Linked DNA regions of Tamandua tetradactyla. The protein of the gene in region 3 interacts with the protein of the main gene of each other region in a pairwise test. Links are inferred from orthologs where the notes say so. Each region holds a gene or a part of one and is shown on either strand. Other genes may lie near its edges. The genes, in order: TEX11, GLRX3 and MAPKBP1.

Region 1 (7,703 bases), on a different chromosome or scaffold from region 3:
TAACCATAGGTATATTCAAATAAAGTATTCAAATAACCATTGTAAAACCTGTGTTTGCACACCAAGTTTCATAAACCAATTTAAGATTAAGGGGACAAGGAAAAAATCTACAAATCCAGAGAGCAAAGTTCTTAAATTCTAAATATTAAACAGTAACTTAAATACCATTTGATCAGTTGTTAAAACTGTGAATGTTTTAAAAATATCAAGTAGAAAGTTATTACAAATATCTACATTGTAACAGTAATGACCTATGTTATTAAACATTTTCCTGATTTCAGGAAAATATGAAGATACAAATGTTTTTATAATTAACATATGAAACTTTAAACACCTAAAATGGATATCTTAGTTAGCTTATCCATATGCATATTTAAATAAAATATCTAAGTAATGATTGTAAAGTCTGTTTGTACGAGTCTTCATAAGCCAATTTAAAATTAAAGCAAGGAAGGAAAAATCTATAGATACAAATATCAGAGTTTCTTAGATTCCAAATATTAAACACTATCTTAAATACCATTTGATTAACTATCAAAATTGTGTACGTTCTCAAAATAATAAGTATATAGTTTTGAACAAAGATCTGTGATGTGATTGGTAAATGATTTTTTTAGTCATTCATTATATTTTCCTGCTTGAACATGATTTTCCAATGCTCAAAAACATGTTGATGTACTAGATTTTGTTTGCAAATAGATATAATTTTTCAAATATGTAGTGTCAATTCCCCAACTTTTATGACACTCTTCAATAGCATCAACTTTCTCAAGACAATGAATTTTGCATTTTGGGCCAAACAAACTTTTAATTTCAGTGCCTGGATTATAAAATGGTGGGCCTCTATGTTTAGGTGGACCGTTAGAAACCAAACATGAAATACTGGAACCCTTTTCTTGTTAGGGACATTATATTAACATCACATTCTCGATCACCTGGATTAACAGTGACTAAGGCTCTTCTATCCCAAATCGTGTCAAATTCACCAATTTGAATACTGATTCAAAAAAATCTTGAATCCCCAGTTCACTGATCTCCACACCAACTACGCTATGTCTCTGGTCTGCAAACCATCTAATTTCAACTGCTTTCCCATAAAGAGGGAAAAATATCCTTTGTCCACTCTTGCCATTAAGTAAAGTATCCAAACGCCTCTCTAATAGCTGATGTCCTTGTTCTTGATGAAATAAAATATTGCAGCTAACCCACTTTACTTGCCATTCTTCCAGAGTTAGTACTCAGTTTTTCAGCACCTCATTATTGGGGTAGTCATTAATTTTAAGTAAAGTTCTTGCATCATTCATATTTTTATAGACACCTTTGCCTCAAAAGCAGCTATCTTTAATCCTTTATAGTCACCTACATGTACTTTTACACAGATAATTTCTATTGATAAAGTTCAGATTAAACCAGTTTTATTTTGCATACCGTAAAAATCCTGAAAAAACAAGTTATGAATTGCGAATTTTCTTTCCCTACACTAACTAGTACATAAAAGGGTCCCCATGTCAAGCACCTACATTGTTTTCCTGGTAAATAATTGAGAAAACCTGGAAAAAAATATCTCCAAAGAGATAAAAGTTGGTTACAAAAAACATTTAGATCTAAAATATTCCCGGTGCCTGCCCATGTGAAAAAAAAAAAGACCTAAAATAAGGCAGCGAACAACTTGACATTCTCTTTATGACCACGTAAAACTACGTACCTTTAAAGTCCATGAAGCGAAAATCAGCAGCCTCCATTTTAAAATCTCTGGTTCAGGCCTAGGAAATAAAAAAAATATTTTAGTCTTTCCTTTATCATCTAGTTTCTCAATAAATTTCTTTACAATCAAATTTTTCCTGTTACTAGCTATTCAAAGGGAAAAACGGCTGAGGATATTTAAAAACCTAGAAAATGTAGTTAATGAGGGGCGGGGCAGGCTGGTGGGTGACTCAAAAGGGACCAGGAGGAGATTTTACCTCCCCCTAGAGGACTAGCGATTTTCTTCCCATAAAGCTGCCTAGTAAAGAGAGAAACAGGGCTCAGGGGTACCCTGTAATTGGTCTGGCTGGTTCTCATTGCCTCCTCCTAATTGGTTCAAAATCGCCGGCCCATTTACATCTTTACATTCAAACCATCCAATCACTCAGCGTTGTTTTTCCCGCTCTCAAAGACTCAGCGAGCGCCTTCAGCTCCCCACCCCCAACGCGCAGTCCAACGGAATCTAGCTTCAACGGAATCTAGCTTCAACGGGGTTTTAAGTCTGTCACATCCAAATTACGATAACTATTATTTCCCGCTTTCAGTGGCCCAGCACGGCTCCCCAAACTCTATCCTAAGGCAGAAAAAACACTAACTTTGCCCCTCTCCCTTCACCTAAAAGTCAGCCCTCAGAAGCTCAGTAGGCCAAAGTTATTGCCTCAGGGCCATTCTTTAAAAAGTGTTAGGATAGGGCGGGCCACGGTGGCTCAGCAGGCAGAGGGCTCGTTTCCCGTGCCTGCCCACGAAAAAAAAAAGTATTAGGATAGTGGCCACATCTTGCTGTTACAAACCACTCAACTAGCCTGTGCCTGAATCCTCCTCTAGCCCGTCCTCCCCACTAAAACACTCACCTCACCGAGGACCCGACAACGCCAAGTTGTCTTCTCTTCAGGCTCCTTCCACACCACAAGATGACGCTCACAAAGCTCCTCCCCTCGTAGTGACGCAATCAACTGCCTCGCCCAACAGGCGCTGCCCTGTATCACAGAATCTGTGCCTTGGGGCGCAGTCTAGACCTTAGGCCCTAGGGATGTAGTTCAGAAATCTAGGGTGAGAATCACTGAGAGCAAGCAAGTATGATGATATAAGAAATATACTGCAATCAATTGAGAGAAGAATGCAGAGGACAGGGATTACAGGAAAGATGAGAGCAGACCTTTGGACTGGGGGCAGGTGGGTGAAAAAGTATGTTTCCCTCTGATTATTGAAGAATGGCAAAGGTCAGAAATTGAGGAGACTGAAAAATCCTATAGTTCCAAGACATGTTTCTGTTGCCCTGCCCTGGCCAAATCTGAAGGAAACTACCTAATGCCCCCCATCTCCCACCCTTGCATGCTCACAGTAAGATCATATGTTCCGTCTATCTTCAGACAAATGGTTTTGGGGGTGAGGGTGGGATATATAGGTAAACATGTTTGATTCCAGCTAAACTTGTGGTAATGTTTGCAGACAAGAAATTGAACTGTTCTGAAACCTCCACCCAGAGACAGCAGATGCTGAATGTGTTAAGGCATGATTGCCTCCAGATTTGGAAAATAATCCACAATCAAAACATTAACAAGTCTCCTACTTCTTCCTTCACACACCCTCTTTGAAACCTTGTGCATCTCAGTCCAGATGTAGAAATGGCTGGCAGGATGAACAAGAGAAATTGTGGCTTCCATTCTGGGAACATGGATAGAGTTCCCTCCTGACCCTGAAAGTCTTGGAGTCAGTCCTTATATATCACAGAAAGTAATGAAGGGCTCTAAAAATAGTTTTTCCCCTATTCAAAATTTTCTCCATCTGGATCATATAGTACAGTGAAGAGAAACAGGAAAACTGAGAAAGTATTGCTATTAACTTCTCTTCTTTTGCATCCTCCAATTTAATATGTCCTCATTTCATAAGTGTAGATCACTAAATTAGGGAAAGAAGTCTGATGAAAGGGGCAGTAGATTATCCCATAGTTGACAGAATTCCCATACAACATATACTAGTGCCTTGATTTCCTCTTCTGTAAAATGGGAATAAAAGTAATTATTTCTAGCCTTCTGGTTCAATGAAATACTGTACATAAAGCATCTAGAACAGTGGCTAGCATATTGTAGGCACATGGCAAATGTCAGTTTCCATTATCATTCACCCTAACCTCGTTGGCATACTAAGGACTCCCAATTCCCATCATCCCACTCAGGCCTCTACTTCCAGCACCATGACTTATTTGTTCATGGATCAATAAGATGAACAAAAAAAGTGATAATGAGACCTCATCTCTCAAGTCTACAGTGGCCCTTTCACATAAATCGCAGACCTCTTAGTGATTAGTAATGCTCATAGTAGAGTGAAGATTATCTTATTAAAGATTATGTAAAGCATACAGGAATCACATGACTCTATTGAATAATGCTCATCACTAATATGACCCCAAAGTCAGGACTACAGAGCGGACACCAGTGCACTGAAACAATCAGTGAATCAAGGAAAATACATAGAAAGGGTGAAAGCCTTTACATTGAATGGGCATCTTCAATTTCTTGTTTTTGATCCAAATGACCTTCCTAGACATTAAAAGCCAAGTGAGGATTAAAAGAGAGAGAATAAACTAAAAAAGAGGGGCGGGAGAGTGAGCAAGGAAGTACTAGGGAGGAGACCGGAGGGGAAAGAAAAGAAGCAGGTGCATATTGAGGAGCATATACAAGGGTGAATAATAAAACACCACTAAGTGTCACTCAACATGCTGTGCATTATCTTCCCTACCCTAGCATCAACTATAAATGTTCTGCCCCTCCCTGTAAAAAATTGATACAGAAATGGTGAAATGTATATAGTGCATAAGGCAGGTGAACAACTTGGACTCTAATGAGATCCTATTAAGACTCTCATTAATACAGTGGATTAAAAGAAAGTAAGCAGCCAGGAATGCAAATTGGGTAATAAGGTGTATTACACTTTGTTAGAAGAAGAAAAACACCTTCAGAATAAACATGAAATTATAGAATAATCATCAGAAAATTCTAAAACAGAAGTATTAATGGAGTAAGGGAGAAGGGGCTTTTTCCATCAGATGTTAAAACTACACTAAAATGGAAAAGAATAGAGTCTAGAAACAGATATGTAAAACAAACACACACACACAGAAATGATTCAAATCGGGGGGGAAATGGATTATTCAAGAGCATTGAAAGGAATAACTGGATAGTAATTTGTAAAAAAAAAAAATAGATTCCTACTTTATTTCATACACCAAAATAAATTCTAGATTTATCAAAGATCAAAATGAAATCATAAAATTCCTTAAAGAAAATAAGAGCAAATATTTTATAAAGATGACAATGGCAATATCTGAACATGATCTGAAAACCAGAATCAAAAAAGGAAAAATGATGATGTTTTACTACATAAAGCTTTAAATCTTCTGCATGACTCTATAAACAGGGTTGAAAGACAAACCACAGCCCAGAAAAATTTTTTCAATATATATCACAGATAGTTAATATTTCTAACACAAAAATAGCTCTTAAGAAAAAAGACAAATACTCCAAGTAAATAAATGAGTAAAGAATACGCTCAACAATTCACACAGGAAGAGACAAATAACCAATAAACACATGAAAGATGTTTGACCTCATCTGTAATCATAGAATGCAAATTAAAGCAAGGTAAGTTTTTCATCTATCAGATTGGCAAAGATTAAAAAGATGAGCAAAAATCTCAAGTTGGCAAGATACACATAACAAACACTCTTGGACACTGCTGATAGAAGCATACATTATTGCAACTTTTCTGGAGGGAAGTTTGGCCATGTGTATCAAATTTTAAATGTGTTTATCTCATCACTCAAGAATTTCTCTTCTAGGAATTTTCCTAAAGAGGAAATTGGGAAAATGTGCTAAAACATATTAAGGAAACATTCACTGAATCATTGTAAACCACTTCAATGTTCACCAGTAGTGCACTAGTTACGCAACTTATGGTACGTTGGGGCCATACAATGGAATACTATACAGTCTTTAAAACATTATTGTGAAAATAACCTGTACTTATAAAACTGGGAAAACGCTTATATCATACTGTTGAGTTTAAAAAGGAAAAAAAATTACAGAGAAGGTATGTAATACGTATGCAAATCTTAGGCATACGTGAACAAAAATTGTCTGGAAAGATATTTAACAAAATGTTAAGAATGTTTGTTTTTGGATGGTGGGATTCTGAAGAACTTTTACTTTCTTCTTTATATTATCCAGTGTTTTTTAATTTTCTATAATAAACACATTTTTATCTTGAGGAAAGCTATTTTCATTTAAAAAAAAAACACAGGAAGATGAGGGAGTTTTTATCTGATGGGTATGTAATTTTCTCAACAAACTACGAGCAAAGTCAATAGAGAGTAGGAAGGAGAACTGTGGGGAGTGTGAAAGAGGTAAGAAATCGTTATTTCAGAGTGTTGAGCATCTAGTTGAGGTTAATGCCCAGTTTGCTGCCCAGTTAGTTAGCTTGCCCAGTTGTGTGATTTCCTCTGACATTCCTGAACTGCACAGGTGAAAGAATGAAGAAGATGTTTGGATTCCTCCAGAGGAACTCTGGAGTGCTACCTAGGGATTGAGGATATTTGCAAACGAGTGACGATAATGATAATAAATTCAGTAATTTATGTAGGAAAGGGAGCAAGTAAAGATTGGAGTAGAGTGAGGAAAAGAAAGAAAGTGTGTGGGAAGGAGGTCAGTGAATTGGATGATTATTGAGGCCACTTGAGGAAGTGAGCTGGGAAATCTAGGAGAGTTGTGGACAGAGAACTTGATGTTTAAATTATTGATTTCAGAGATGCACATTCTGGTGATGGCAAGATCTAGGGTATGATCATGTGAGTGGGTAATCGAGGTGGAATTCATTGAGTCAAACCACAGAACCACTCCCTCCCTTCTTCAATTTTATAACACTTATCTACACACTTCAGTTCAGGCCTTAGAATTAATCGCCTTCAAGAGTCTGACCCCAGACTAACTTTCCTGCCTTCTTTTTCCACTTCACTCCTTCAAATTCCTAGGCTCCAGGCAAAATGAATCACAAGCTTTCCCAACTTCTTGCTTTTGCATAAAATGTTCCCTCCCTCTGGAATGCCCTTCCCCATTTCTGAAATAACACATTTTACCTACCCTTTAACTTCTGCTTAAAAGCCTCAATATCCATGAAGCCTTTCCAGACCTCCCTTCTGTGAATTCTCATAGTACCCCATCCATACCTCTTAAGACAACAATCCAAAAGTTCTCCCCTCATTCCCTCCAGCTACTGCCCCCAAATGCTAGCCTATAGCTCCTGTATTCTTTTCCTCACCCTACAATCACTCAACCCACTACAATTGGCTTCCACCCCACCACCTGATCAAAACAGCTCTTGAAGTGATCATCAATTACCTCCTAAAAGATAAAACCAATCAACCATTTTCAGGCCTTACCTTACTCAACCTGGGTATCTAGGCAACATTTTACATTTTTGACTATTCCTGAAAAGTTCTTTCCTCCCTAGACATCCACACAGTGGTTCCTCTATCTCTTCCTCAAGTGGCCTCTATCTCTTCACAGAGTCCTCCTCCTCTATCTGTACCTTAAATGTCAATGTTCCCCAATCTTTTTTATGAGTATTATAAAAGGAATGAAAGCAAAATGATTGTACGGAATGAAAGCAAAATGATTGTACCTGGTTAAAAAACTGAAAAAAGTACATCAAAGAAATCAGAGGTTAACAGTTCCTCATATATTTTTCTAGAAAAAATATTTAATGTATAAATACATCCTTCTCTTTTGTTCTTTCACACAAATCTTTTGTTCTTTCACACAAATGTTCTGCATCTTAGGGTTTGAACTTCATTTTATTTTGTTTCTATTCAATAGTGTATCTTGGAGATCTTTCCATATCACCTATTGACACCAACATCTCTATCTCATTCTTTTTAAAGGTTGCGTAAGTATTCCACCAAATAA
Region 2 (7,523 bases), on a different chromosome or scaffold from region 3:
TTATGCAATAATTACCAGTTTTCCCCTAAGCTTTAACATGCTGTGTGTGTGTGTTTGTATGTGTGTGAGAGAGAGAGAGAGAGGAAGAGAGAGAGAGGAAGAGAGAAGAGGAAGAGAGGACTGGACTCAACAGAGAATTAACAGCATGCGAGGTGGGGGTGGGTGCTGAGAAGAGCTGGAGGCCGAAACGCAGAGGCTCAGGGGTGGGTATGGGGGTGCATCCTGGCTCTGGCTCTGGGCAGTTTTCTGAGCAGGCAGTGAAAGTTTTGGTATCATCAACAGGAAATTGAATGCTAAAAGTGGCCACTTGTGTGCAAGGGCTTTGGATGGCCAAGAAAAGGACACTCTATAGCTGTATATATGCCTGGACATACCTGCAGATATGTATGTTCCTGGAAATACCCATTTATGCTCCTGCATATACACCTGTACGTACCTGTAGATACCTGTAACTCAGATTCAGCACTCTCCCCAAAACGTGGCTTGAGTTCAGTGCTGAGCTACTGAGTAGTCTTTGCTGCTGAAGTCAGAGCATTTTAGAGGGAACAGGCCATCTGCTGCCCCCTAGGCTTGCTGATCTCAATCATGATAACTGCAAGAAAGGGCAGGAGGGGGACTGGAAATGTTTTCCAGGCATTTTCTGGGGGCATTTTTGTTGAAGGGAGCATGCTCTGCAGCTAGCGTATACCACTTGCAGCAAATTCCATTTAAAGGAAAAATCAAGATTTATAAAACAGCCACATTAGGGGGGCAATTACTTGCGTTTTTTGAAAACTATTCACTATTGCACATTTCCCTGGTGTATTACAGTTTCATTATCTTAAAAAATTACAAAGCTAGTCCATGTTCTTTGAAAAATGCAAACGACACAAAAGTGTTTAATGTAAAAAGTAAAGGGCCATCCTTCAAACTCCCCAACTTCTAGTCTCTGGGGGCAAGTTCTAATATTTGGGGACACATCCTTCTGAAAGTTTTTTCTATGCTACACACACCTATCTTTACATATTTTGTCTACATATAATTCCATGTTTAAAAATGATTCTCAGATACACATACTATTTTACCATATGCTGTTCCCCCCTCCTATTGCATTTTTATAATAATCACTAAGGCTTTTATGTATTTTTTAAATTAAACATTTAGTTTTGAGATAATTGTAGATTCACAACTGGAGTTGTAAGAAGTAATGTGGAGTGACACTGTGTACACACAAAAGTTTTCCCCAGTGTAGCACTGTCTCACAGTCAGTGACATTGTAATGACATTGATACAATCTACCTATCTTATTCGGATGGCCTCAGTCCTGTTGATGTTCATTTGTGTGTGTGTGTTTAGTTCTACGCCATTTTATCACAGGTAGGCTTGTGTACCCACCTGGACTCCCACCTCTGTCCCACATTTTCAGTAATGTAATTTACCATTCTCAGTGGCATCTGCTTCTCAGAGTGAGGTGTGTCTGTAATGTGGCTCCTATAGGTTGCTTTTAAACCATTAGAGAAGCACTGTCCAACGAGAATAAAAAGTGATCTGCAAACGAAAGCCACCTATGTAATTTTAAATTTTCTAAGAATCTCATTAAAAAAAGTAAAAAGCAGCAGGTTTAGTTTATGTATTTTATGTAACCCAATATAGCGTTTCAACCCAATATTATCATTTCAACATGCCAACAATATAAAAAATATTAATGAGATATTTTGTGCTCTTTTTTGTGCATTTTATACTTACGGCACATTGAAATTCAGGCCAGCCACATACCAGCTCTCGGAGGCATGGAGCTGCCACAATGGATAGAGCCACACTGGACTGCACGGCTCTTAGCTGCCTGCTGTGAGTGCTTCTGTTTTTTTCCAGTTTACACACTCACAATTCTCTTTTCTGTCTGCCTCCTCTTCTGTTTTTTTTAAAGATTATGTATTGCTTTTTTAGAAAAATATTTTTATCAAGGTCAAGCCATGGAAAATATACAATCAATATCATCACATAGTTGTGTATTCATCATTGTGATCATTTTTAGAACATTTGCATCACTCCAGAAAGAGAAATAAAAAGAAAAAAGAAAAAAATCCATATATTCTGTACCCTTACCTCTCTTCATTGGGCGCTAGTATTGCAATCCATCCAATTTTTTTAACCTCTTATCTCCCCCATGATTTTTTTTTTCTCGCATGGGCAGGCACTGCCAGAGAACCCCGGTCTCTGGCACAGCAGGCTAGAACTCTGCCACTGAGCCACTGTTGCCCATTCTCTCCCCACCATTTTTATTTCTGTTTTGATCTTATTTTTTTGATCATCTGTCCATACCCTGGATAAAGGGAGTGTCAGCCACAAGGTTTTCACAATCACATGGATGCACTGTAAAAGCTTTATAGTTAAACAATCACGTTCAAGTATCAAGGCTGCTGGAATACAGTTCAACAGTCCTAGGTACTTCCCTCCAGCTACTCCAATACACCACAAACTAAAAAGGGATATGTATATAATGCATAAGAATACCCTCCAGGATAACCTCTCAGCTCTGTTTGAATTCTCTCAGCCACTGAAGTTTTATTTTGTGCCCACTTTTGGTCAAGAGGCTTTCTCAATCCCATGATGCTGGCTCATCCCGGGAGTTCTGTCCCACGTTGTCAGGGAGATTTACATCCCTGGGAGTCATGTTCCACTTAGAGGGGGGAGGGCAGTGAGTTCAACTGTGGAATTGGCTTAGAGAAGAGACCACATCTGAGCAACAAAAGAGGCTCTCTAGTTGTGACTCTTAGGCATAATTATTTGTAGGCTTAGCCTATCCTTTGCAGGAATAAGCTTCATAAGGTTGAGCCCCCAAATTAAATGCTCGGCCTGTTGAATTGGTTGTCCCTATTGTTAGTGAGAATGTCGGGAATTCCCCAGATGGGGAAGTTTAATATTTCCTCCTTTCTCCCCAGTCCCCCAAGGGGATTTGCAAATATTTTTTTATTTTCTGGCCAAAATAAACTCTGGTATGTATCAGAGCATCACACCAACCTGTACAAATCCTTCTGCCTCCTCTTAATTCTTCCAGATTAATTTTTTCTCTCCCACCCTGGAAAATGCTTTATGCTCAGTCCATATTTAAAAGGAAAATTTCTTTGTAAAAAGAATTTTGTATTCTGCTCCTCTCTCTCAAGGATACCTGTGCTCACCCTCCCAGGCCACCGAGAGATGTGCAGGGCAGCACGCAGGGGATTGGCACAGAAGTGGCAGAGCAGCACAAGGCCCCTGGGGCGAATTCCCTCTGCCAGCTCCTCCCAGCATGTGGCTCACCTGAGAGTGTGGCTTGTGGAGGCTGTCCCTGTCCACTCTCTGGGTTGTAATACTGCCGATGAGCCCTGCTCTCTGCCCCGTACTGACATCTACTGTGCTCTAGCCCAGGCATGGGATAAAGACAATTCCTGCCCTCAGTGGGAGCACTGGTGAAGGGGAGCACGTTCTTCACACAGGGAGCAGTAGGGACAGGTAGGGAAGGCTGTGTGGACACTTTCTCAAGGACGGTGCAGGAGGACTTTTAAGAGAAGCCCCAAATTCCTGGTGTAGCACCCCTTGCGATGGGAACTATGGGAGGAGAGTCTGGAGAAGATGAGGGCAGGAGAGAGCTCTGGACTTGCAGCCGAGCCTTCCCCAGACATTTAAGTCAGTAGGGGCACCGACAAGATGACCAGGTAGGAGAGAGTGTGGGGGAAGGCAAAGGACACCCTCAGAAGAGTCGACTTTAGGGGGATGCGAAGGAGAGCAAGGGTCGCCAGGGAAGGCCCGAGGCAAGAGGGGTCTGGGAGCTTGGGGGCCTGATTGGAGGTGCTAAGGGGGTCCTGGAAGCTAGGTTGGTGGAGTCCCAGGTCCTGCTGCTCTCTGGTCACAGTCCCTTTGGGTCCAGCTGGGAGTGTGTGTGTGTGTGTGTGAGGGGGGTGGAACGCGGTCTCCACGTAGGGTTCGTGGGAGGCGTCCTTTAGGTGAGGTTTGGAGACTGGGCAGCATTGTGTTCTCAGCCTTCCCAGTTCATGCCAATCTTTACGCTAAACTTTAAAGATTTCAGCTTGTAAGTGCACAGCCTGACTTCACGCACCTGCACACACAAATCCTTCCTCTGCCCTCGGGCCTGGTTTTCAAAGCTCGGAACCTGAAGCTGTAGGAGCTGCCAGCAGGAGGCTGGTGGGGTGAGGTCTTAAGCAGGTGGGACTCTCCAATCAATTAAGATTCCTGAGTCAGGACTCCCAGAGATCAGGAGTCAGGATCCCCGGGAGTCAGGACCTTCCCAGGGGTCAGGATCCCCGACAGTCTCGAGCACAGCGCGCGGATCTCGGCCGCTGGAACCCGGCTGGCTCTGGCTGTGCGCTGCAGGCCCGGCGGATCAGGTTTCGCAATAGCCCAGCCCCGCTGTGGGGGCGTGGCCGGGGAGGCGGAGCTTTGCCGGCGCGCGGCCGCCCCGCCCCGCCCCCGGCCCCGCCCCCATCGACCCGCCCGCGCTCGGTTGCTCCAGTCTGGCGGCGGCAGCATGGCGGCGGGGGCGGCCGAGGCGGCGGCGGCGGCGGCTGTGGTGGAGGTCGGTTCAGCCGGGCAGTTTGAGGAGCTGCTGCGCCTCAAAGCCAAGTAAGCGGGCCGCGAGAGGCAGGAGCTGGGCGCGGGCCGCGGGTACGGGCCGCGGGGCCGGCGGGCCTTGGGCACTGAGGGAGGAGAGCGGCCATGCCGGCGCCTTCACGCCCCGCTCGCCCGGGCGTCGGTCGGTTCCGCCCGGCCCCGCGGGCTCCCCGGGCTCCCCGGGCTCCCCGGGCTGTCCAGAGCTGCCAGGCCCGAGGCTTGGGCGTGCCCCGCTCTGGAGGGTGCGGCGGGGCCGAGAGGGTCGACCCCCGGCCCGGCCGGGCCCCCAGCGCGCTGGCCTGGCCGCCCCCGCCGGGCGCGGTGACTCAGCTTTCCCGAGGCGCTCGCTGCGGGCGGGGCCGGGGGCTGCGCGGAGACCCGGGCCCGGGGCGCGGCCGCCGCGCGAGGGACCCACCGGCGGGCTCGGCTCCTTTGTGCGCCGCCCGCCGGGTCCTGCCAACTCAAGTCTTTCTCTTTGGCACCGCGTTATAGTAGGGCTTGGCTTCCTTAGGGTGTTTAGCCTTTCTTTTAGAATTAGTGTTTAAAGTTTGTCACAGGCAGGCAGCGCTAGCATTTCCAAATTCGTCGTTGCCATAGACGGGGAATTCGTGTTTCAGGAGCTGCTTTTGTCAGTCGGTTCCGGGTTGGCGCACACGTGCTTCTTGCCCTTGAGAGTCCACAAAAGGAGATCCATCGGGATGCACAGAAAACGTTTTTCTGGAGTTAGACACTGAACCGTATGAGTGCTCACAGGTAAATGCTGACAGGTGTGCCCATGGGCGACCGTGGTAATGCACATCACACTGTAGTGTCCTCAAGGACAGCCTTCAGCTGTAAAGGTTAAGATGGGAACTTAGGTGGTCAGATCGCCTGTGGCATCCTCAGTTCAGCCCCCTTCATGGCTGGGTGACCCTAGGGTGGGCTTCACTTAAGCCTCAGTTTCCTCAACGGGAAAGTGGTTGAGAATTGTACCTCCCTCGTGGAGCTGTTGCCAGGATCAAATGAGATCAAGTAAAATGCTTAGTACTTGGCTTGGCATGCAGGAAGCACTCAATGAGTGAGTGGGAAGCCTGTTGTTTTTCAGTAGAGAGTAGCGTGCGTGCGTGGAATTCACTGGTGGTAAATGCTTTTTGACCTTAATACAGTAAAATTTTGCTGGCTGAGTTTGAGTCAGAGGCAAGTTGTATTTTGTGCTTTTATAATGGAGACTGCGATGAGATAGGGGAGTTGCCTTTGTTGAAAATGGGGAGGGGTGAAAGTTGCTCTGTTCTGGTTGACCACCCTTTACGGACAGGATGAAGTTCAAGACAGCTCTTTGGGCGTCTCAGGCTTACATTAGAAATTGTCAAACAGAAGGAAATGATGAAACCTGGATTCTAATTCAGCCAATACTTTTCTGCATACACACACACACACACACACACACACACACACACACACACACAATCTTAAGGCAGCAAATTATGGAGGACATGAGTGATGGCCTTTAGAAATGAACAGGGCTTGTGTGGACCTGCCTTTAATAAACATTTTGGACTTAACCATCATCTGAAATAAACTGTTTTGTTTGTTGTGTGCTTCACGTTTTTGTTTTTATGCTTCATATTTTAAAGTCTTTAAAATATACACGGGTAAAAGTTTACATGTAAAAACCAGTTAGATGTATTCTTGCTGCTTGTCTATACTTGAAATAACTGAAAGGACTATACTGCTTCCCATAGAGATTAGTTTAAATGAGTACCTGGGCAACTTGGCATAGGAGGGAGGAACAAATATCTGCTGTTTTTGTGAAAATGAAAGCATTTACAAATATTAAAGAGTACTTGTGGTAATGCAATCACTTAAAAAGCTTTAAAAAGCATACCTTCTCAATTTCAAATTTGGTATGAATTGACATTTTTTCTTTGCTTAAGTCATCTCAGCAGATGTTTATAATTTATGAAAACTCCAGCAGGTCTGTAGGATATTTATGTCCATTTGCTGAATAATTAATCAGAGCACCTGTAATCATAAAGAAATAACTATTGAGCAGTAGCTATTTTACTGATGAAGACTTGACATTATTAGCCAGGATTTGAACCTGGTCAGTCTTTCTCTGAATGTTTTCCTCAAACATTGCACTATGTATATTGAGTTATCAGTGAAGATGGAGAGAACACAGTTACAGATATCCTAAAGAGGACAACCCCATTTCAGGTTTATGTCCTTAAAATATTGGGCATTATGTACTTAATTGGAAAATGGAAATTTTAAGCATCTAAACATGAGAAAATCATAGATAGTTTAATGTGACAGTAGGCATTTCCATAGTGCTTTAATATTTTCAGAGTGCTTTTATATTTTTGTTTGATCTTCCCAGCAACCCAGGATATTAGGTATTCCTGTTTTACAGATGTAGAAGTTAAGAGAAGTTCAGTTACTGTTCGGTTACCTTAGTAGTGAAGCAACAGAAATTTGAATTCAAGTTGTATGTACTTTTTTCTTTTCCTTTTTTACATAGAATTAAATGCTATAAAGTATGGCAACCTACTTTAATTTTTAAAAATGTGATATGTGAGCATTTTCCCATGTCATTAAAAATTCTTTGATAACACAGTTTTTCTGTTGTATAGTATAACATACATAGAAAGCAAAGAAAAAAAAAGCAGTCGTTTTCAAAGCACTCTTCAACAAGTGGTTACAGGACAGATCCCAGAGTTTGTCATGGGCTACCATACGATCCTCTCAGATTTTTCCTTCTAGCTGCTCCAGAATATAGGAGGCTAGGGGGCTTAAATACTTTTTTCATCATCACAATCGACTTTTTTTTCCTTCTTTTTTTATGAAAAATAACATATATACAAAAAAGCTATAAATTTCAAAGCACAGCACCACAATTAGTTGTGGAACATATTTCAGACTTTGACATGGGTTATAATTTCACAATTTTAAGTTTT
Region 3 (7,924 bases):
ACTTAGGTTCCCTTCTGTGCTTTCATTAACACTGTATGCATACATCTAGAACAACACTTTTCATATACCACATTGTAATGATCTCTTTACATGTCTGACTAGCCATAAGCTCTTTCTTTGATGGCAAGGTCAATGCTTTATTCATCCCTAATTACAGGCATGATAAACACTCAGTAAGCATTGTTTGAATACATTAACAAGAAATGACATGGGAAGTTCTAAAAAAATGGCAACTGTACCTTCCTGATATCAGACCAAAATTACAATAAGTACTAACACTATTTGAAGACTAAGCTTCCACGATACAAATCTACTACCTATACCATTCTTGGCTACCAAAAGAGGCCAAGATTTGGGAAGATTGCTCTAATAGTACTGGTCATTGCCAAGTTACAAGCCAAAAATATGAGTTTATATTACTAAGAATGATTCAAACCAACAAAGAGTCAACACAGGCAAACATAAGAGAGTTTCTAAACTTCAGACTCATTCTAAAATGAGTAGTTAGGTTCAAGTGTTAAATTGGCCAGGTGGTGCTGCCCAGTTGTTCTGTTGCTATGGACTTAAATCATCAGCATGTGAAATTCATACATGGCCCATCTATGAATGGTTAAGGGGAGTGCCTTCAGCAATGAATGACAATTTAATTAGCTGGAGGCTTAAAAAAGAGAGGTCAGAAGCGCAGGGAGCTCAGAGCAGCTCAGACCTAGATGTTTGAAGATGCCCAAAGGACACACCCCAGGGAAAGCCACTGGACTCCAGAAGCCAGGAGAGAAGGCCAGCTGACATGGCTGTGTGCCTTCCCATGTGACAGACAAATTCAGATAAAAGCAAGCTGCCTTTCCTTGGAGGAACTGTAAACTTGTAACTAAATAAAATCTCCTTATTAGGAGCCAATCCATCTCTGGTATATTATATTCTGGTAGCTCTTGCAAACTAAAATAATGAATAAGGATTAATGAGTTCTTGGAAGGATCACTATCTACCAATATGGAACCCTATGACCAATTTTGATTCAGTACAATCTCTGCTGAAATATTACAGTAAAGTTGTTCACCTTCTGACCAAATCCAATTAAGGTTCTGCTAAGGGACAGGAATCTAAGTCCTCCCAAAACCTTGTCATGTTGAACATTAGCACTTTAAATCATTCCTTATGGGGTTTAGTCATCTCTGAAGAGACACAAGCAAGGCAATAAAATGCTGCTGTCTCAAATGCCTCTCCCTGTAGCAATCCTTTATCACACAAGGCTATTGTGTTTACAGGCTGCTAATAAGACACATAAATCTAATCTGATCCTGTGGAACAAAGCCCTGGGTTCCCTCAGGGAATAAACAAATTTAGTCCACTTCGGAATTCCCAAAGTTGAAAAACAAAGTTGAAAAAAATCATAAGGACCAAAGCCCAGACAAATGAAGAGATGGAAATGGACTTGGCCTCTGAGGAACTTCTTAGCCAGGTAGGAACTGGCTCTTGTCATTGAGTGAATAAAATAAGCAATGTTCAATGGCAAACTTTTGCTAGCAGACATATGGCTACTTGCATGATACCATTCCTAAAAAGCCAAGAATCTCCAGTTAAATCAATTTAGGCCTCTTAAAATTAGGCACATGAATTATTTTGACCCCAGCCAAGAGCATTTAACAAGTTAATTCCTTGGACTAGGCGTTTTAATATATTTCTTTCTACTACTACAACGCTTACATAACTCAGCTGTGACACACCTGCAGCTTGCATTAGTTACAACTTAGTCCTTAACAGGGTATGAATCCTTCCTTTTCCAAGAAAGGAAACCAAGTCATAGCATTATCAATCGGCTTCCCCAAGCACAAAGTTTGTAGGAGGCCATGACTGAATCCAGTATGCCTTCCTCCTATTCACCTGTTCTCACGAATGAGTCTCAACATAGTCTTTTCCTCCAACCTAAAACTTAATGCCTACTTGAGAGGCATATTTAATCCTTTAGCGCCTATATGGAAAACGAAGGTGAAAGAGGAAAAGGGTGCAGGGGAGGGGAGGGTTGAAAAGGAATGGCTCCCAGTACTAGGACTCACCTTGGAGCTGAGGTCCTCTCGCCGGTTTCCTGCCTTACTCCTGCGTAGTTTGATGGATGGCGATCGCAACAGGTTCTTAATCCGGCTGGTAATGGTTGACCCTTCCACAGCCATCATGATGAGAAACCCTTTGGGACAGTCCCTTGCCTAGTCTTAGGACCTGTCTCAACAGCAGCTCAGCCTTCCCACTTCGCAGGGCCTTCCAATACGACCTCTCAATGACCTGAGATGGTAAAGGCCACCTCAGCATCAGAGTAGGTGTCTTACCTTCTGCTTAACTGTGTCTGTAGCTCTTACCTCTCGGTATTACCATCTTCTTTCCTCTATATCAAGCTCATCCCCGCTCCAAAGCCTGGTGCGGTTTCTTATAATGTGGGGAGGGTAGACCCATGTAAAAACGGGGTGGGTGAGGAATCCTGAGCCACGAAGAAATGCCAGGCCCATGCATGCCAGAGGCTTTTTAACTGGTGGGACGGGCCCGAGCAGGGCTCTGACTGATATGGTCCCCGTTAATTCCCAACTGTTTCCATGACAACTACGGTGCCGTGGGAGGCTACCGAGGCCACTGAGGAGTTCCGTAAGGAATTCTAGGCACCTGCGCTGGCAGCCACGGGGAACTCGGCAGAGCTCGCCCTGGCCCAGCAACCCCTTTTGCCACTGGAGCCTCCCTCCTCCTCCCCCGACCCTCCGGAGTTTGCTCTCGGTCCTCCACCCGGAACCTGGACCTTTCTCTTTCATCCCCCTCAGAAGCCCCTGCTACTCATCAGCGCCCCCACTCGGGCCCAGCCTCACCAGACCCCGGGCGCGAGGGCCTCCCGGCTCACAGCGCCCTCAGGCATAGCGCTCAGCGATTTCAGCTCCGCTGCGGGAGCCCCAACAGCAGCTATGGCGGCACGAGCGGCTCAAAACGCGAACTACTGCCTGGGCCAAGCTACCGGTTGGGTAGGCGGAGCCACGGCGAGGGGGAGCGCTTGTATCCGGGAGGGCGTCTCCAGACTGGACGCGCAAGGTTTATGGGGGCGGAGCCAATGAAAGGGCATAGAATGGAAGACTTGGGACGCGAGAACCACGGATTCCGGACAGTGTAACCGTGGGTACCGCTTTCAGACGGAAGTCATCATAACATGGCTTCAGAATTAAGAGAACCACACCTTTTAAGGTATTATCAAATCTGGTCCCCCGTAGGAAACTTGCACTTCCCAGAGTCCCAAGACGGTAATCACGTTCCCAAAGTACTAACGTGGGCAGTTAATAGGCTCGAGGGACCAGAGGTGAGGCTAACTCCTCAGAATGAGGTATAGTTGTAGCCTCTGCTCTCACTGCCAATCCCAAATGTCAGGATTTAAAGTGGTCACAATACTTTCTGCTAGCGTAGGAATTCGTGCATCGACCCACATGGAAATGACTCTTCCGAGTAACCGCTTAAACGGCTAATTACGGCGATTTGCATTGGGCAATCTGGGCATGATGGAGCAGGGGCGGGGCTTCAAGTAAACGTGCCTATAGGTTTGTTTCAAGATTCCTTCAGCGTCCACGTCCCACCACGCTCCCACGCAGTTAACCAGGATTTTGTGGCTCCGGATCTTTTCCTTGCTCCTGTTAAAATTTCCTCGTGAAATCTCTTTCCGAGAACCGTTACATGGTGAACTGGCACTAGATTTAATGGTAGTTTTTCTAGCTCATTGGTGGGGGTAAGGGGACACCTTTATGTATTCATATCTCATAGGTGTCTCAGCCTAACAGTTTATGCCATTAAGAGCCCCAGGATTTTCCACTTTGTTGCTACTTCAACAAGCTGCTTTACGAAAAGGGTAGCCTAAGCCAAAAGACCCAGGTCCCAGAATAGAACACTGATGTGCTTGTCTCACCCACTCCAGATCCTTGGGATCCCCGGGAGAGATGACCTGTCAAGAGGGGGAGGGATCTTAAGCCCATAGCTGTGTGGAGTCGGCTTTGTACAACCAAGTGGCCAAGCAGGCATGTATTTATACGTACTGTAATGTGTTAAAAACGAGGTACGTAAACCTCACAGGTTGACACAGAACAGGATCATCTCCTAGAAGACCAATTAGCAAGAGTCACCGGACATGGGGCTTCCTTCCCTTCAACCATGCACTGCAAATGTAATTAAATATAAATCAGATTTCAGAAATTACTTCTGATATCTGGGAGGAAGAAACAAGAGTCTACAACAATTTGAAATAGGGAGTTTGTCCTGAAATTCCTTGCTAGTTTCCATTCTCCATGGGCACAGAAACCAACATAACACTGCTCAAGAATGGCGGTACCTTGTGTCTTTGTGTGCTGCAGACCCCAGCATATACCAGTTTCGCACATGAAACAAAAATGTGTCTTATTAATCCTTTCTCAATCGTTTTTGTGCCTACTAGGTGTCTCACTTACTCATGCATGACCAGGTAAATGGATTTACATGCTATTAGTTATTTCCTGGCCAAAGGTACCCTGATTTATTCTGAGAAAATGTTCCCCAAATTATCCTCATCTGAGGTGAAGCTGCTGAGCCAAATCCAAGTTCCTGCCTTCCTTGATGATCTAGGTGAAAAACAACTAAGAACAGGGTAATGAGGGGATTTCATAAGTCTGGCATCTGGTTACTTCCAGTCTAGGGCCAAACCACACACTTAATTCTTCACAAGTTCAGTCCAATTTTTATTGTCTAGGTATCATGCAGCTTTTGAAGTGCCAACATGGTAATTGGCTGTGTCCATGCTTCATGAATTGATTACTCAGAAAATATAGTCCCAGGTCCAATGTGAGTAGAAGGATTTCCTTTTCTCCACTCAAATAAGTACTTGCCACTCCATCCTTCAAAATGCGATTGACCTTGACATAAGTATTTCAGCATCCATAAGCTATTTCACTTTTTATTCTGCTTGTACATGTCCTAAACATGTATACATGGTGTTTGTCACATTCTAAAGTTCTAGATGTCTGGGAATAGATGTATACAGTTTCTATTTAGCATTATGCTCATTAGATCATATTTAAAAATTGATCCTTAACATGCAAACAAGGTGCAGTTATAAAATCCTGGAAAACTTGGCAGGCTAGAGTAATTATCTGCTCATCAATCCAAATATTTACTGAGCACCTTTACATGCAAGGCACTGTGCGACAACTGAACCCAATGTTTGCAGTTGGAAACACGATGGATCACAAAACAATGCTTCCAAGACTGCTTTCCTATTTAACAAAATCTCTTCTAACAGCAGAGTTTACAAAAATAGAAGGATTTAGTAGAGCTTAAATTTGAAAGCTCAAAATTCACCACTTACCCCATGGTTCCATCTTCCCACTCCTCACACACACCTCCATCATCATTTTTCAACACTGATGTGCCTTTGTAGAGCAGTTTACTCATATTTAATATATACTAGTTATGCCACTAAAAAGTTATATATATATCCAATTATTTCCCTCTAACTTAACTTCAAATATGCATTCTTATTTGACTAATTTTTTTCCAAAGGGCAGTGACTCTGAATACCTCAGCTTAAAATTTCTTTGCACCCAGCCACTCAGGCCCATGTAAAATCTCATTAGAGATAATAACAATAACATGGAAGTATTGATGCCCTTTATAGCACTTTCTTCAAAATGGACAATTTTGGGCAAGAAATGTATTGATTCTTGATTATCAATCACTCTCTGTAAAGGTACCTAAAAATGTACTGTACTGTGCACTTTTTGTGTTTGTTTTTTAACTTCTGGGAATGAGGGGTGAGAGTTACCACTAATTTTTAGATGTCTTCTGTTTACCTCTCAAATTCACCTCATCTCACTTCCATTTCAAATACCTCAACCAGTGGAGTAAGAAAAAATATGTATCTATAATACTAAAACTTGCCCAAAGTAATATATGAATTGTCCACCTCTCTTCTATATTCAGAACATTCTCAATCTTGGTACAGAAAGGCCTAGTATCAGCTACTTCATCCATAGTTTTGGGGGAAAAAAAAAAACTACTGCATTTATTCTAAAATTATACAAAGTGAAAAATTTGCAAGAAGTTCATATAACTGAACTTGATCTGTTAGTGGCCTTAAATAGATTAGAGTAGCTCAATGTATAAAGGACTCCTTTAATAAAACTCTGTCATTTGTGATGCTAGTTAACTTAGATCTTCCCTTAAGAAACTAACTTATTGCCCTTAGCACTAAGATTGTGACCATGTCCCCTGTTTTTCCCCAGGGTAACAGGTATATTGCCCTGCACACATTGGTACTATGAGGCAAGCCTTTGTTCACTATAGAACAAAGACTTATTGAGACATACTTGATATCAAGATGTATAAAATTTTGGAGTCTCCATAGAAAACATGCTATATGGATTAGAAAAACAAAAACCTTCCCAAATGGCAAGCCAAAACTTTGAGAACAGAAAGGAATTCCTATGATGAAACTACTTCTCTGGCACCTCTCTTAAATCTGCCTCAGGGCATTAGGATTCTCTGTTCCAATTTAGCACAAACCTTCCAACACCAAGTCCTGCTTTAATTATTATAACTGATTTATTTCAGATTTAAACATTCTGCCTTTCAGTCATCAAACTTCTCCTGTTCTTAGGTTTCTAAAAAAATAGTCACTTTTCAAAAGCAGAAAAAGAAAGATATATATTTAATATATAAAAGAAAAGGCTAAATCTGACATAATTATATTCTTAAAAACATTCCATTTATTTACAGATGTATAAAAAGGCGAATTATTGGTCTAATGAGATCATGCTTCTTACAGAGTTAGGGTGAGAGTCACTGTCCTCCAGATTCCTTAAGTCCTTTCACTCAACTACATCTTTCATAATCACACATGTAATTTTCATAGATCAGTTTCTCCTGGGGCAAAAGTTAAAAGGTAAGAGTTGTGGGAAGATTTTAGATTTCTGTAAAGACTGCAGGATTGTTCTGAAAATGGAGTCCTCTTCAAATTGTCCCTGATGACTCCCTAAACAGTCTTGAGAACACCGTAACTTGGGAGCTTATAATGCAGCTTTCCCTGAACACCTGGAATCCCTCATTTCCTTCTTCATACACCTCATAAACAGAATCAAATATCCTCCAGCTGAGAAGAGATTATTACATATCTATTTTATTCTAAAAAGGGAGCAGTACTCAGTAGCTAAAATAAAATAGTCCTTCTTTTCCTGAGGATTGTTTGCTCACTTGCCTGCTTCCTTCGTTGACCTTCAAAAGCCACAAGAGTATTCAGAAGTCAGGAGGAAATGTGGGAAAGGGACAAGCAAGGAAATAATGAAAACTGCTATACCTGGATTGAAGTACTGGAACCTCCAAGGACAATTATTAGTGGGGAAGCAGATGCTGGACTCCTTGACTAAGGCATTGAATGAAATCTGCTTGGTAAAGAGGAGTGTGAGGATTAATGAGAAGCTAAGGGGTGCTCTTTGCCTACTTCAAGGTTCTTGTGTAACTTTCAGAGGAGGGAAGGTTAAGTGCTAACAAGTAGGTCTAAGAAGGCAGTAGCACAAAACCAAAAGAAATTTGCTCCCATTGAATTTGTGGCGGAAGCAGTTTTTCCATTCTTTGCAGTTTGTTGATTATTAATACAAAAGGAACCAACCATGGAAAGTAATAATTCTCTGGCTAGAACCATTCCAAAGTTGGTCTCACAACCTAGGTCTGAAGATATGCTGAATAGGATTTGGGATAGAGAAGGCAGGGTTATGCAGAAGAAGTAGTTATCGCCTAGGCACAGCCCAGGCACTGGAAGCTCTTGTGTTAGTGTTTCACAACACAAGCAAATCCTGTCAATGAAGACAGAATAGGCGTTACATTCCAAAATATAGTTATTTAAGAAAGGCAAAATGCAGCAGTTAAATCCCAGTCTATACATTTG

What was found.
Region 1: the proteins of MAPKBP1 (region 3) and TEX11 interact in binary tests that used the Homo sapiens proteins (3 or more experiments, as listed by UniProt). The two-hybrid records come from large-scale screens. The link is inferred for Tamandua tetradactyla from reciprocal best matches to the Homo sapiens genes MAPKBP1 and TEX11.
Region 2: the proteins of MAPKBP1 (region 3) and GLRX3 interact in binary tests that used the Homo sapiens proteins (3 or more experiments, as listed by UniProt). The two-hybrid records come from large-scale screens. The link is inferred for Tamandua tetradactyla from reciprocal best matches to the Homo sapiens genes MAPKBP1 and GLRX3.

Annotation. Positions count from the first base shown.
Region 1 is NC_135353.1:100,742,316-100,750,018, reverse strand, and holds the start of TEX11 (testis-expressed protein 11), read right to left. Parts: upstream 3,020-7,703; 5' UTR 2,595-3,019; intron 2,029-2,594; exon of another isoform or gene 1,962-2,028; intron 1,764-1,961; 5' UTR 1,743-1,763; coding exon 1,706-1,742; intron 1,508-1,705; exon of another isoform or gene 1,486-1,507; intron 1,238-1,485; exon of another isoform or gene 660-1,237; intron 1-659. UniProt on the Homo sapiens protein: Regulator of crossing-over during meiosis. Involved in initiation and/or maintenance of chromosome synapsis and formation of crossovers.
Region 2 is NC_135339.1:92,762,835-92,770,357, forward strand, and holds the start of GLRX3 (glutaredoxin-3), read left to right. Parts: upstream 1-4,491; 5' UTR 4,492-4,504; coding exon 4,505-4,599; intron 4,600-7,523. UniProt on the Homo sapiens protein: Together with BOLA2, acts as a cytosolic iron-sulfur (Fe-S) cluster assembly factor that facilitates [2Fe-2S] cluster insertion into a subset of cytosolic proteins.
Region 3 is NC_135340.1:55,454,661-55,462,584, reverse strand, and holds the start of MAPKBP1 (mitogen-activated protein kinase-binding protein 1), read right to left. Parts: upstream 3,016-7,924; 5' UTR 2,847-3,015; intron 2,841-2,846; exon of another isoform or gene 2,352-2,840; intron 2,278-2,351; 5' UTR 2,172-2,277; coding exon 2,055-2,171; intron 1-2,054. UniProt on the Homo sapiens protein: Negative regulator of NOD2 function. It down-regulates NOD2-induced processes such as activation of NF-kappa-B signaling, IL8 secretion and antibacterial response. Involved in JNK signaling pathway.